4 separate regions of the Mus musculus genome follow, and all the other regions are reported to be linked to region 4. The links are microRNA targets in miRTarBase. Many come from high-throughput screens and were not tested one by one. Region 4 holds a microRNA gene; each other region holds the end of a gene's coding sequence.

Region 1 (3,156 bases), not on the chromosome of region 4:
GATGTAAGATTCTGGAAATGCCCAGCAGGTTCCCTCAGGACCACACCCCATGCCTGTAACGTCCTAGCTTTCCATCCTCCTGTGGCACACTCACATATACCCCAGGGATGGGCAGACTACCAGCTGCACCGAGCCCCCAATCCCTGATCCCCACTCCCAGCCTCTGCTAAAGCACAGCTCATATCCCTACCTGGAGCCGAGCGTGGGACATTCAGCCACATCTGGAATCTTCCAGATCCAGCCCCTTGAGCAGAACAGGAATTGGCCTTTCAAGGGTTTGGTGCCCTCCCATCCAACTCACAGCGGGGAGAGCTAAGGCTGGAGGTGTAACCCCCTGGAAGGGTGGATGTGGTGCAAGAGAAGAGAGGAAAGAGATGGCTACTCTGTACCTGAAGCCATTGCTATCACCAGGGCCCAAAGCCACCTTGCAGCCAAGCAGGTAGACCCTGAATCTAGCAGGGGTTCCATACTGAGAGTTGAGTCCACGCTGATGACAATGACCCGACTCCACCTGGCCATGAACAAAATGAGCCACACAGGCCCACCCTTCATGCCTCCCCATTGCAGAACCCCCTGTGTAGCAGACGCCCAGACTGAGCAAGCGGCTGGGTAGGTGCTGCTCTAATCTTCAGATGTCCAACTATAGCCTGCCATGTCCCCAGGCCCTGCGCTGCTTTGGGGGTGGAGGGAGAACACACTAACAGGTATGGACATTGATGGTGACTCTGGAACAAGCACAGGTGTCTCCCAGCAGTCCTGAGAGACCTGAGCCTGTCAATTAACCTGGAGAATTATTAAGAGGCCTTACGGTAGCCTACGAGGCTATTCCAGGAAGGCTTAGTAAAGGGGGAAGGCCCTCTCCAGGGACTGCCTCCGCTAGCAGGCAGCCCAGATATTGGGTGCTCCAAGTAAAAGGCAGTGCTGCCTGCCAGCCCTTCTTGCTGCTGTTACCACCCTCTGCTGACATCAGACACAAACTCTGACTTTCCAGTGTGGCGTGAAGATCCTCCAGGCCCTCAGCACTAGAATGGAGCTGCTGTGAATTTAGCAGCTCCAGGGCTCTCAGCCTCCCCAGCCAGCAGATGGCTGTTATTGGTGAAGTCTGGATAAAGATGGCCCTCACAGGCCCATAGGGAGTGACACTATTGGGAAGTGTGGCCTTGTTGGAGGAAGCTTGCTACTGTGGGGTGGGCTTTGAGGTTTCAGGAGCCAGGCCTAGTGGCTCACTGTCTTTTCCTGCGCCTGCAGATCCAGATGGAGAACCGTCAGCTACCTCTCCAGCACCACATCTGCCTGCATGCCGCCATGCTTCCCACCATGATGGTAATGGGCTAAACCTCTGAAACTGTAAGTCAGCCCCAATGAAATGTTCTCCTTTATAAGAGCTGCTGTGGCCATGGCGTCTATTCACAGCAATAAAACCCTAAGACAATTAGGCTACCAAGCCCATTTGTGTAAGCCAGTCTGGCGAACCCACTTTTACAGTATATATACATTCTATTGGTTCTGTTTCTCTAGAGCCCTAATATACAGGCCTTGTTGCCATGTGCTCAAGACCAAACCCTCCAGGGTGCTGTGATATGACACTTACACTCCAGGACTCTGCTCCCAGCAGCTTTGGGGGCTCCAGCCAGATGAAGCAGCTGGGTACATGGCCTGCAATACCCCCACAGAAGCCTTACAGTGACCCATGGGGGGAGACGTCTACCCAAGGAAACCACCGCCCCAATGCGGCCTGCAGGTCCACAGAGCCAAAGTCACAACCCTTGACCTCCATACACGGAGAAACCAGAAACAGCCTCCACCTATTGTAAATATTGTAAAAATCCAGGCACTGTAGAGGATGGACCCAGCAGCAGCTCACGTAAGAAACCCTGATAAGGGGCTTAGAGAGGGATCTGAGGTGGGGCTGGCCAGGGCTCAGCCCTTCATAAACTTCTCTGAGGAGCCAACGTCCCGACCTCAAGAACCTCCTGAAGGGCAGCAATCAGCCAAGAACACTATACTGACAATGACAGTCTCCTCTCCAGACCGGGGCACATTGCCCACAGGCCGATACCCCAGCCATTCCAGGGCAGGTATGGGGCTCACACGAGCCTCAGTAGCTCTCTAAGGGCTCAGGTCTCCCTAGTCTCTTCCCGGGAGGGTTCCCTAAATTCCAGTCTTGTAGAATAGCTGTGGGCAGGACTGGAGAGATGGCTCAGCGGTTAAGATCACCAACTGCCCTTCCAGAGGTCCTGAGTTCAAATCCCAGCAACCACATGGTGGCTCACAACGGTCTGCAATGGGATCTGATGACCTCTAATGGTGTGTCTGAAGACAGCTACAGTGTACTTATATAAATTAAACAAACTATAGCCTTGGGTAAGGTTTGCACCTGAGTCCTGACAACCCTCTCCCTGGACTCCTCTGGTCATGTTGTCCCAGTGACCATGCTCTAGACAGGTGACTTTATTTCTAAAAAAGTGAGGCTCTTTTCAGCCGTGTGGTGAGGCAGCCAGCTGGCCAGTGAGGGAGAGGCAATGTGGGTCTGACTGGAAGGTAGGGGCCCCACAGGCTCTCTGTCCTGGGGGTGGGGGGAGGGCTAAGGGAAGAGCCCCAGAGCAGCACAGTAGACCCCCACATCCCTCAGCCAGCCACGGGCTCCGAGTTCCCCTTGAGTTCCCCTCGGTGCTGGGATCTGTGGCTAGCACTGGGAGGGTGAGAGTCCGGGAACGCAGGAACAGTAGTGACAGTAAGCTCAGAAACCCTTGTCTATGCTCAAGGTGCGGCGTGTGACGTGCTCCAGCTCCCCAGACACATAGTCTGCCATGCTGATGCGGTAGTGTGCCAGCATCTTCAGCATCAGCCGCAGATTCAGCCACCACTGCTCCCGGGGCATGCGGTGCCTGCGCAGGTCAAGGTTGGATAGTTAGTTACAGAACTGAATCCCGAGATCCCTTAAACCCCGAATACCTAGTCGCCATCATGACCAGGGTATACAGGGTACATCTGGGTGCCCCATTCCTCTGGCTGGGAGTGAGGGGAAGTACTTCTGAGGTAGACTCAGATGCAAGAGTCACAAACCCTCCCCAGACCACCCTGTGCTGGCCATTGAACGCATGGACAAGACTCCTGTTCTTCAAAGCCTGCTAGGGGCCCTGTCCTGGAAAGTTC
Region 2 (3,156 bases), not on the chromosome of region 4:
TAGTTACATGTCTCACTACCCTCTGCACTCTTCATGTCCCGCCACTATACCCCACGACCTGTAGAGGCAAGCCACTATGTCAATTTCTCACACACACACACACACACACACACACACACACACACACACACACACACACAACTTCACTCTGGTTGTCTTGTTGCCCCTATCAGGCACACCACCACTGTTCTTCCCAAAAGCATCCCTGGTCTTTTTATATTCTGCCAGCTACTAACATTCCTTCTGGTGGTTGGATATCCCTTCTCATAAAGTCCCAACGACTATCAAAGGTATGAGTCCACCCAAGTTCACTCTAGAGGAAACAGTAGTGGTCTTCCTTATGGAACATAGGTAAGGGGTTACTTATAGTGTGGGTGTTTCCCGCTACAAAAGGTTGCACCAGAAAGTTTTTAGGCAGAAAGTATAATGGCTTTCCCACAGCAACACAGATGAAGTCCCTCCTCCCAGTCATCGTTCTGACCTATGACGTATCCCCTCCTCTAGGCTGTATGCAATTAGGGCAAAACTCCATATAAGAAGCAGAATGGAGTACTGTAAACTCAGATGAGGGTCCCATGACCTTCCCCACACTCCTCCTATGGATGGTCAGCCAACAAACCCAGTTGGGCTGACGCTTTGCAAGCTCAACTACTGGAGTTTGCAGTTGATTGGCTCAGAGGACAACCATGATCAACAAATAGCCACATAAACACAGCCATAAACTTTAACTCTTACATATGCCCTTCCTGGTTAACAGACAGAGAACCAGGAAGTCACTATGCTAAACAAAGAACCATGAGGCTGTTTCAATGTGTTCCATTTAGACAAAATAGACTTTATTCCCCCAAACAAAAGCTTTCTACCTCGCCATAAATATCAGCTCCCTTAAAGTGATTTTTGGTTTTTAACTTTCCTTTAATTTTTAATCATTACCCACGAGCAGAGAGAACTTTTGTACTTTCACTCCTAAGGTTTGCCATGGGATTTTACGTCACAGTCAACACAAACGAATACCAACAATTCGGTGTTCATTGTATATATCCAAAGGGGTGATGTGTGCATAAAAACCATGTGACAAAAAACCAAATGTATAAATGACTTGAGCTTCAGAAAGCTAGAACACTTTATTATACTTTCACATCCTTTGTAATTTCTGGGTTAAGTGCAAAAAGGGTGGATTAAAATATCACATACACAAAAAAAATCTCCAAATCTATACATCTGTTTGAGGGATAAAGACATTGGGAACAAGAACTACCAATCACTCAGTATTTCTCAACAATATATTACTAAGATCTGTATGTACATGCTACGGTAAGGCGGTTTGATCTCTGTGACAAAATAACATGTCAAACAACACATACCAGAGATAACAAGTGAAGAACCATTCACTCCATGTATGTACTAAAATAAAGTCTATACATAATACACAGTTCTTCAAAATCAATTCTATGCTCTCTAGAAAAAGAACGGTTTAAAACTTCTCAGAAAGCAGGATTATTTTTCTGCTGAGATGGCCTGAGGGCTGAGCTTTGTATAGTTTTTAAAGTGAGGTTACTTAGTAAATTTGGATGTAAAACAAATTCCATCCTTTCAAAGATGAGTTCAAATCACTCTGACACCTGTGATATAGTCTTTCCACCCATTTATTAATGATAAGCAGCAGTTCAAAATTTTGCCACATTCTACATATTTGTAAGATTTCTGCCCAACGATAATTTTTTGTATACACCAAGTTTTGAGGTATGGGCTGGGCCTGGGGGTGCATGTCTTTAGTCCCAGTGCTCTGGACACAGAGGCAGGCAGATCTCTGTGAGTCTGAGGCTAGCCTGGTCTACAGAGTGAGTTCTAGGGCTATTACAGAGATCCTGTCTGTAATAAAAAGATTTGTTGAGGTATTAGTGAAATGTCAATCTTTTCATTTTATGAGGGAATTTGTAGTATAGTGTTGGACTGTTCTGAGGGTTAGACATAGGACAATACTCTTCCCAATATGAATTTGCTACTGTCCAATAAAGAAGAGCAGTGATCGGGCTGTTGAGATGGCTCAGGGGATAAGAGCACTGACTGTTCTTCCGAAGGTCCTGTGTTCAAATCCCAGCAACCACATGGTGGCTCACAATCACCTGTAATGAGATCTGATGCCCTCTTGTGGTGTGTCTGAAGACAGCTACAGTGTACTTATGTATAATAATAAATAAACCTTTGGGCCAGAGCGAGCAGAGACCGAGGGAGCAGGGCCAACCAGAGCGAGCAGAAGTCCTAAATTCAATTCCCAACAACCACATGAAGGCTCACAACCATCTGTACAGCTACAGTGTACTCACATACACAGAATAAATAAATAAATAAATCTTAAAAAAAAAAAAGAAAAAAGAAAAGCTGTGATCAAAGGCCAGGCCATGTTCTCACATCTGTAACAGTTTTCAACTATGGGATGTTCAGTACACACTCTGAAACAGTACCACACACGACTTAAAGGTCTTGCCAGACTCCTTACACCTGTATCGTCTCCCCTCATAGATGGGCCTTTTTGGTGCAAATGGAAGGTTCAGCAGTTGTTAAAGACACTAAGTGCAAGAACAGGGTTTTTTCCCTTTTATGAAACACTCGGTAACAACTGTCTTCCTAGTAAGGCTTTGCTTATTATACACATACACATATACACAAATTCTATACACTGTTTGGTGTCTGGAGAGTGTGAGTTTCCTGGTGTCGTTTAAGGCAGGAGGAAGTAATAAAGGCCTTGCCACATTCCTTACATCTATAGGGTCTCTCTCTGGTGTGGATCCTCTGATGTCGGTTCAGCTGTGAGGAGAAGCAGTAGGCTTTGCCACACTCTGTGCATTTGTATAGCCTGTCTCCAGCATGGATCCTCTGGTGTTTAGTCAGGTATGAGGAGCAGCTAAAGGCTTTGCTGCACTCTTTACACACATACGGTTTTTCTACAATATGGATGCGCTGGTGCTTAGTAAGGTATGAAGAACAATTGAAGGCCTTGCCACACTCCTGGCACACATAGGGTTTCTCCCCGGTATGGATCCTCTGATGTCGGTTCAGCTGTGAGGAGAAGTAGTAGGCTTTGCCACACTCTTTACATTTATAGAGTCTGTCTCCAATGTGAATCCTCTGATGTTTAGAGAGATAGGAAGAACA
Region 3 (3,156 bases), not on the chromosome of region 4:
TGAGTAGTTTGCATGTAAAATCATTTTGTATAGTCCAATCTGGAGCACACCTCCTGCCTCCTTCAGGTCTGTGGTCTGGAGCAATGGCAGTACCTGTGGAATACATTCACACACACACCCCTCCAAGAATAATCTCTGAGGTTAATTATGAACGTAGAGTTAAAGAGGCATTGCCAGGAGTAATGAGAGGAAAACGCACATCACCACAGGCAGATTTTTCTCAACTCAATTTCTAAATTGAATCTTTTTTTTTTTTTACAGGCTGCAAAATACAAGCTGGCAGCTCTGCCTGTGGCAGGTGCACTCATCGGAGGAGTGGTAGGGGGTCCCATCGGCCTCCTCGCAGGCTTCAAAGTGGCAGGAATTGCAGCTGCACTTGGTGGTGGGGTGTTAGGCTTCACAGGTGGAAAATTGATACAAAGAAGGAAACAGAAAATGATGGAGAAGCTCACTTCCAGCTGTCCAGATCTCCCTAGCCAAAGTGACAAAAAACGCAGTTAAAGCCCAAGCTTCCAGCTGCTGCTGTGCACCGAGCTAAGGAGCAGTTGCTGTTGCTGGAAGTGTTAGGAAGTGGCTCTCCCTGTCCATGCAGTGTTGAACCACCATGAGTGGATGTGTTTGTTAGCTGGGTGTTAATGGAGATTTTAGAGGTGGAGGAGCCTGGCCAGAGGGTGTCTGTCAGGTCAAGTTTAAAGACTGCCAAAGAGCAAAGGTTAGGCCTGGAAATGTGAAAACTGGATCCATAACTAAGGATCTAAGAAGTGTAGACATGTAGTGGACACCTGAGGTCAGTGTATTTGTCAATTATTTCTTCCTATAGGGAGGAACAGAATTCGAGTTCAGGAGTCTCTGTCAGGTAGGGATGTTGCCGCTCAACAGGGGGCACGGGTGAACTACTTGTGGACTTGAGGGCTGTTGTACTTAGACCCATCTGTATTTTCTGGGGAAGGAAATTAACACTATAAAATAGAAAGAGAAGCCCATTTTCTCTTTACAGTTTCTTCATTGTGACATGGGTGTTTTTTCTGAAGTCTTTCCTGCCTCTCCAGATAAGGAGCACAAAACCTCAATGCTAGACCTACTAAACCAGCCACCAAGCCCATTTCCAGCTGGTGATTCAGATAACTGTCTATTCTACTCTTCTGATTCCTACCCATGTTATAAGGATTTTCCTCATAATCTGCCTTTTTATATAGTTTTCCACTTCTAGCTACCCCTACCTGTAATCTCTACAATCTCTTTAGTTGAAAAAAGAAAATTTAAATATTTCCAACGTTATTTAGGTTAAGGGGAGTGAGTACAAGATCATATCACAGGGCACTTTAGAAGGGGCTGGCATACCTGCTGCCTCCAGGGATTGCCGCCCCTCAGTCTTCTTGGGCGTCCAAGAAGGAGCTTTCTACCTCACATCTGTCACTGCTGCCCTTTCCCAGGCCGTCTCCCCTCCTGCCGCTGTCCTCGCAGTGGTCACGCTTAACCTCTCTCACATTCTAGATGGGAAAACTCATGATTCAGACCCAAGGAAAGATCTGTGGTGCTAACCCAACAGTTGGCATGCACAGCAGGCATGTCCACTTCAACTCCGTGTCTCTCTCAAAACAGAAAGGTTTGAGATTCAGAAGAAAGGAATAGGAAGAAGCCACTGGTCCCGCAACTCTCATCTCTTCCTGAGAAGAGTGCACCAGCAGCCAGAGCACAGGGTCAGGGGCCGAAGGGTTACCTCTTAGCTTCTTTTAAGTGCTGAGTTGATGTTTGGCCTCTGTGGGTTGCTACCTTTCCCTCTGTGTTATAACTTCCTTCCTTCCCTTCAATGCTTTGTGAGTCTTACCAGTGCATCCCTATGAAACAAAGAACTACACCGTATTAAAAGATCGGAAAGTATTGAGTATTTATTTCTTATCCGCTGTCTTAAGACTTTAATAACAAACAAAATTTGAATAATTTTCGGATCCTGAAATATTGCCAAACACACTGGGCATTAAGTAATTACTTTTATTGTCATCCTTTGTTCTCTGGTTCTTGCTGCTCCTTTAAGATAGCATGTCAAACCTGAGCAGGGGGCATTCAGAATGCATCCAGATTTTACTTCAAATAAGATTCCTTTTTGTTTTGTTTTATTTTTCAAGATGTTTTCTCTGTATAGTCCTGACCTAGCTGTCCTGGAACTCTCTCTGTAGACCAGGCTGGCCTTGAACTCAGAGATCCATCTGTCTCTGCCTCCGGAGTGCTGGGATTAAAGGTGTGTTGCCATACCCAGCTAAAACAAGATTCTTGAACTTTGGCCCCGGGGAAATTCCGATACAGCCAGTCCATCCTGATTAGCTAGTATTGTGAGGATAAGAAGTGTTGTTTAATTCTTTAGTCTCCCATGGTCTACTTCATCTTCCTCATTACTTAATACTCAATTCCATGAATCCCCAAAGTGCCATCAGTAAGTGCCATAACAGCCTCAGCACATGGAAGCCAAAGAAACAGGGCTGAGGCTTGGATATGAAGCTCGCACCCTTGGGACCGCGCATCTTCGCTGAGCCAGTGTGGGAATGTGGGAACCATCGGCATGTTAATGAACCATCAGTATTGGGCTTTTGACTCTAGCCACCGTAATGGTTAAGGAAGTTACAGTCCTCTTTAAAATTTCATTATACTTTAAAGTTATTGAGAAATTGTTTTTCATTTCTCCACAATAGAATCCAATAGCCAACTTTTTGTGGAAATTTCTTAGAAGTGTTTAATCAACTATAAATGATATAAAAGTACTTAAACGTATAAATTAGTCAATATGACACAGAAATGATCTTAAAATTGAATTTAATATGCCCCATAGTGTCTAGTTAAATTTATCATCTCTATGATTTATGTCTTATTTTTATTTCAACTAGTTAAAAAGAATCATTTTAATGTCTTAAAATTTGTAGAGACTTCATATTAGTATAGGCAGTCCCCCTAAAGACTTTTTGATGTTATAATCTGATAATTCCTCTGAAATTTTGATGTAGCCCACAGTAAAAAACGTATTAGGATTGAACGTGTATCCATGAAAAATGTTTACCATTGTGTGCAGTACATTCTGATGTTCTGTTTCTTCAACATGCTAACTTCAACCCACAAAACCAGTCTCAGTCTACAAATGGATTACCACCCTCAGTTTTCAGAAAA
Region 4 (3,000 bases):
TTTCCTTGTTTCTGAATTGGTCTCTGTCCCTGTATGTCTCATACTCCCATTCTCCTGGGATTTGGGGAACAGTTGGGACGAGCCAAGTTGTGAGGATGGAGCCAAATACAGTCAGAGGAGGAAGCAACATGAGGCTGTGGAATCGACATACACCAAAGAGACACACCAAGACAAGCAGACACAGAGGTCCCTGGGGAGGTACTGGGAGGGCTGGGGACACTCAGGACCAACCACCAGGCAGGTACCATGGGACACTTAGTTCTCTGCCCAGCACCCCTGGTCAGCCCTCCCTTCCTGCCCTTCTGTAAGCCATACATCGCCCTGTGTCAAGTCAGTGCCATTTAGCATTTATTATCTATTGTGGGCACAGGAGGGAAGGGGACAATGGAAGAGCGGGAGACAAGAGGCTCCACCCAGGCCTAGAGAGAGACACCCAGTCCCATTCCAACATTGGAGAGATGACAAGTCTATCCCTTGGCCAAAGCAGGACTTGAGAAGTCCAAAGCCACAGGAGAGAGGGCCTCGCCCCATGCCTTTAGGGGAGAACCTGGCTATTTTTTTTTTTTTTTGTCTCCTCTGACCTTCCATACACCCCATACCAAACTGGGCATCCAATGTCATGACACCTGAGGTCTAAAGACGTTGGTCTCATAGGAATTCCCAGGAGGACTGGGGTGGAGACAGGTGTTCCCCATGTAGATGACGTCCTTGAATAAGAGGTGCTGCTCACCTGCTCTTCCTGGGACCCTAGGCTTTTCCCACTTGGAGATGATCCTGAAGAGCAGAAGGTCTCCTGGCTTGCCAGATACCTTGAAAATGCTGTCAAAAGTTCTCAGGGAAAAGCATCCTCTCATTCCGTGGGCTGTTTGTCTACGTCTCTCATCACGCCAGACTTGGGATACAGAGACCGCCATTGTCTCCCCACCTGGGACCTCCAGGAACTCCACTTCTCTGCTCAGGAGGTCGCTGGCCTCCACCATTTCTGGGCTCTCATTGGAGACTAGATGATGCTAAGAGCAGAAGAGCTATGGGACAATCAGGATGCTGTCCTTTCCCCCAAAAGCTCCTGGCCTGATGGGGGAGCCAGAGAGGGCAGTGTGGCAAGGTGATGACACACAGCACCGGGAAGGAGCATCCATCAAGTTGTGAGGGTCCGAGTGAGCAGACCATCACTGGCTCTCTCACCCACCCACTCTTGTCTGACCATATCTTTTCCTTTGGCATACTTCCCTTCCTGACACTGGTCCAGCTAGTCACTCGACATTCCTTTCTCCTGAGTGGACCATTATGTCTGACTTGCAGAGGCTTCTAGGCTTGCTGGGTCAAGCTCTGGTCCTATCTCCAAGGCCACATGAGAGGTGGGGTCGTAGACATTCAGGCTCATAGAAACCGGAGCAGGAGGCCAGCCAGTTCACCGAGACCCTTTCTCGGGGTATTGATTCCCAGAGTCTCTTCTTTCTTGTACACCCTGGGGAACAGTGTACCCAAGCTTCCTTGATGCCAAAACATCTCCCCAGACACAGCTCTGAGTCACAGATACTCACCACAGTCCCCAGTGACTGTCCCACTGTATTCAATTCAACTCTCATGGTCACAGAGGCAGGAAGGTTAGAGACCACAGGAAACCAAGATGACGGGAATTGTGAGGAGACTATGGTGACATGTATGGGAGCTGGGCCTTACTGGTTAGAAACCTGAGGGCTATGGGGACAGAGTGGTCCTACTGTGTGGAGGAGGCAACTGAAGATGGGTAGGGTGAGGAGAAGTCAAAGTCTGACCCAACTCAACTCATCTTAAAGCTTCCAGGCCAGGGCCATCACCTCCTCCCGATACTGGGCTCTTGTCTCCCTCCTCTTTCCATTTCCCTAATCTTTCCCTTCTAGACTGGAGAGTAGACTGTCAGTCTGAGAGGACTAACAACCCCTGCCTTCCCACCTGGCTGCTTCTCCTCCTTCCCACTCTCTATCACCACACTTGGCCCTGGATGGCTTTAAAGGGGTCAGTACAGTGGGAGTGCCTGGGGTAGAAGTTCAGCCTGGTTGGGGAGGAGTGGGAGGTCCAGGGGGGGACCAGCTATGGTAAGGGATGAGAGAAGCCAACAGTTGTCCCAAGGGTCCCCCTCAGGGAGTGGAGGTTCCCCTGGGAGGCGCCAGGACAGGCGCAGGTGTATTCTACAGTGCACGTGTCTCCAGTGTGGCTCGGAGGCTGGAGACGCGGCCCTGTTGGAGTAACAACTGAAGCCAGAGTCTTCGAAGGGTGGTGGGCTAAGGGGGAAGAGGGCATGGTGGGCAAAAGAAAGGGGGTGGGGGAGAGAGAAAAGGAGGACAAGGGGGCCCCTTCCTGTAGTACTTGGCTCTTGAGCTGCAGGTGGCTCCTTCCACGTGCCCCTGTGTCACCAACTCAACGATGGCCACAGCTCCTTTTCTCCTTTCTCACCCTTATGCCTCCTCTCCTTGGGGATCTTTCTTGTGGAGTCTCTTCATGTGGGGGTAGCATCCAGCTGTCCCCATGGCTACCCTCACTGGAGAAAGGATCTACCTTCCCTACATCCCGGTCTTTACACCCCTGTGCCTCTAAAGTGGGGTGAGTGAAAGGCACGTCTCAGGCCAGCAGCAGCTAGAAATTGGGGAGTTGGTAGTGCAAATTCATCAACCTCTTCCCAGACCAGCTGATGCAGAAATTCTGGGGTGGGGACAGCACTGTGTATTTCAACAGTCCTCCAGGTGACTCTGGGCCATGCCGTACTTTGGAAACCACTGAGGGACATCTGCAACCACAATCAGTACCTGAGAAAGGTACCTTCCCTTCCCCATAGCCAGAGTCACTCAGGGCTTATGAGGTGGCTCACTTGGCATCTGGGTTGCCCAACATCACCTAGTCTCTTTCCTTTCCTTTTGCTTCTGGCCCAGCTCAGCCTTGCTACTGGGAAGTCGTGGATGCAAGTGTTAGCACACACAAGCAGCTCTTGTAATATTTTCAGGTGACAGGTCTGTTAGAAAC

The links. The annotated mature microRNA mmu-miR-139-5p reads UCUACAGUGCACGUGUCUCCAG and lies in region 4 at 2,171-2,192, shown strand. An mRNA with a match to its seed (bases 2 to 7 or 8) in the 3' UTR can be bound and repressed. Matches are read on the target gene's strand: a 7mer-m8 pairs with bases 2 to 8, a 7mer-A1 pairs with bases 2 to 7 and ends in A, and an 8mer does both.
Region 1: the mRNA of Pfkl is a reported target of mmu-miR-139-5p. Seed matches in the 3' UTR shown: 7mer-m8 at 2,324-2,330.
Region 2: miRTarBase lists Zfp11 as a target of mmu-miR-139-5p. Seed matches in the 3' UTR shown: 7mer-m8 at 2,313-2,319, 7mer-m8 at 2,171-2,177 and 7mer-A1 at 1,834-1,840.
Region 3: the mRNA of Stx17 is a reported target of mmu-miR-139-5p. Seed matches in the 3' UTR shown: 7mer-A1 at 2,172-2,178.

The regions. Positions count from the first base shown.
Region 1 is chr10:77,985,470-77,988,625 of GRCm38, forward strand. Pfkl (phosphofructokinase, liver, B-type) reads right to left here. Exons shown (of 22, transcript NM_008826.5): 22 at 1,478-2,888. The coding sequence ends at 2,741. Among named protein-coding and RNA genes, the nearest start is that of Gm51807, 2.6 kb to the left of the region's middle.
Region 2 is chr5:129,653,779-129,656,934 of GRCm38, forward strand. It overlaps Zfp11 (zinc finger protein 11), which reads right to left. Exons shown (of 3, transcript NM_172462.4): 3 at 817-3,156. The coding sequence ends at 2,674. Among named protein-coding and RNA genes, the nearest start is that of Zfp11, 15 kb to the right of the region's middle.
Region 3 is chr4:48,181,238-48,184,393 of GRCm38, forward strand. Stx17 (syntaxin 17) reads left to right here. Exons shown (of 8, transcript NM_026343.2): 8 at 262-3,156. The coding sequence ends at 501. Among named protein-coding and RNA genes, the nearest start is that of Mir1958, 30 kb to the right of the region's middle.
Region 4 is chr7:101,473,212-101,476,211 of GRCm38, forward strand. It overlaps Mir139 (microRNA 139), which reads left to right and starts at 2,165; the gene lies at 2,165-2,232. The region is part of intron 1 of Pde2a (phosphodiesterase 2A, cGMP-stimulated); the gene reads left to right.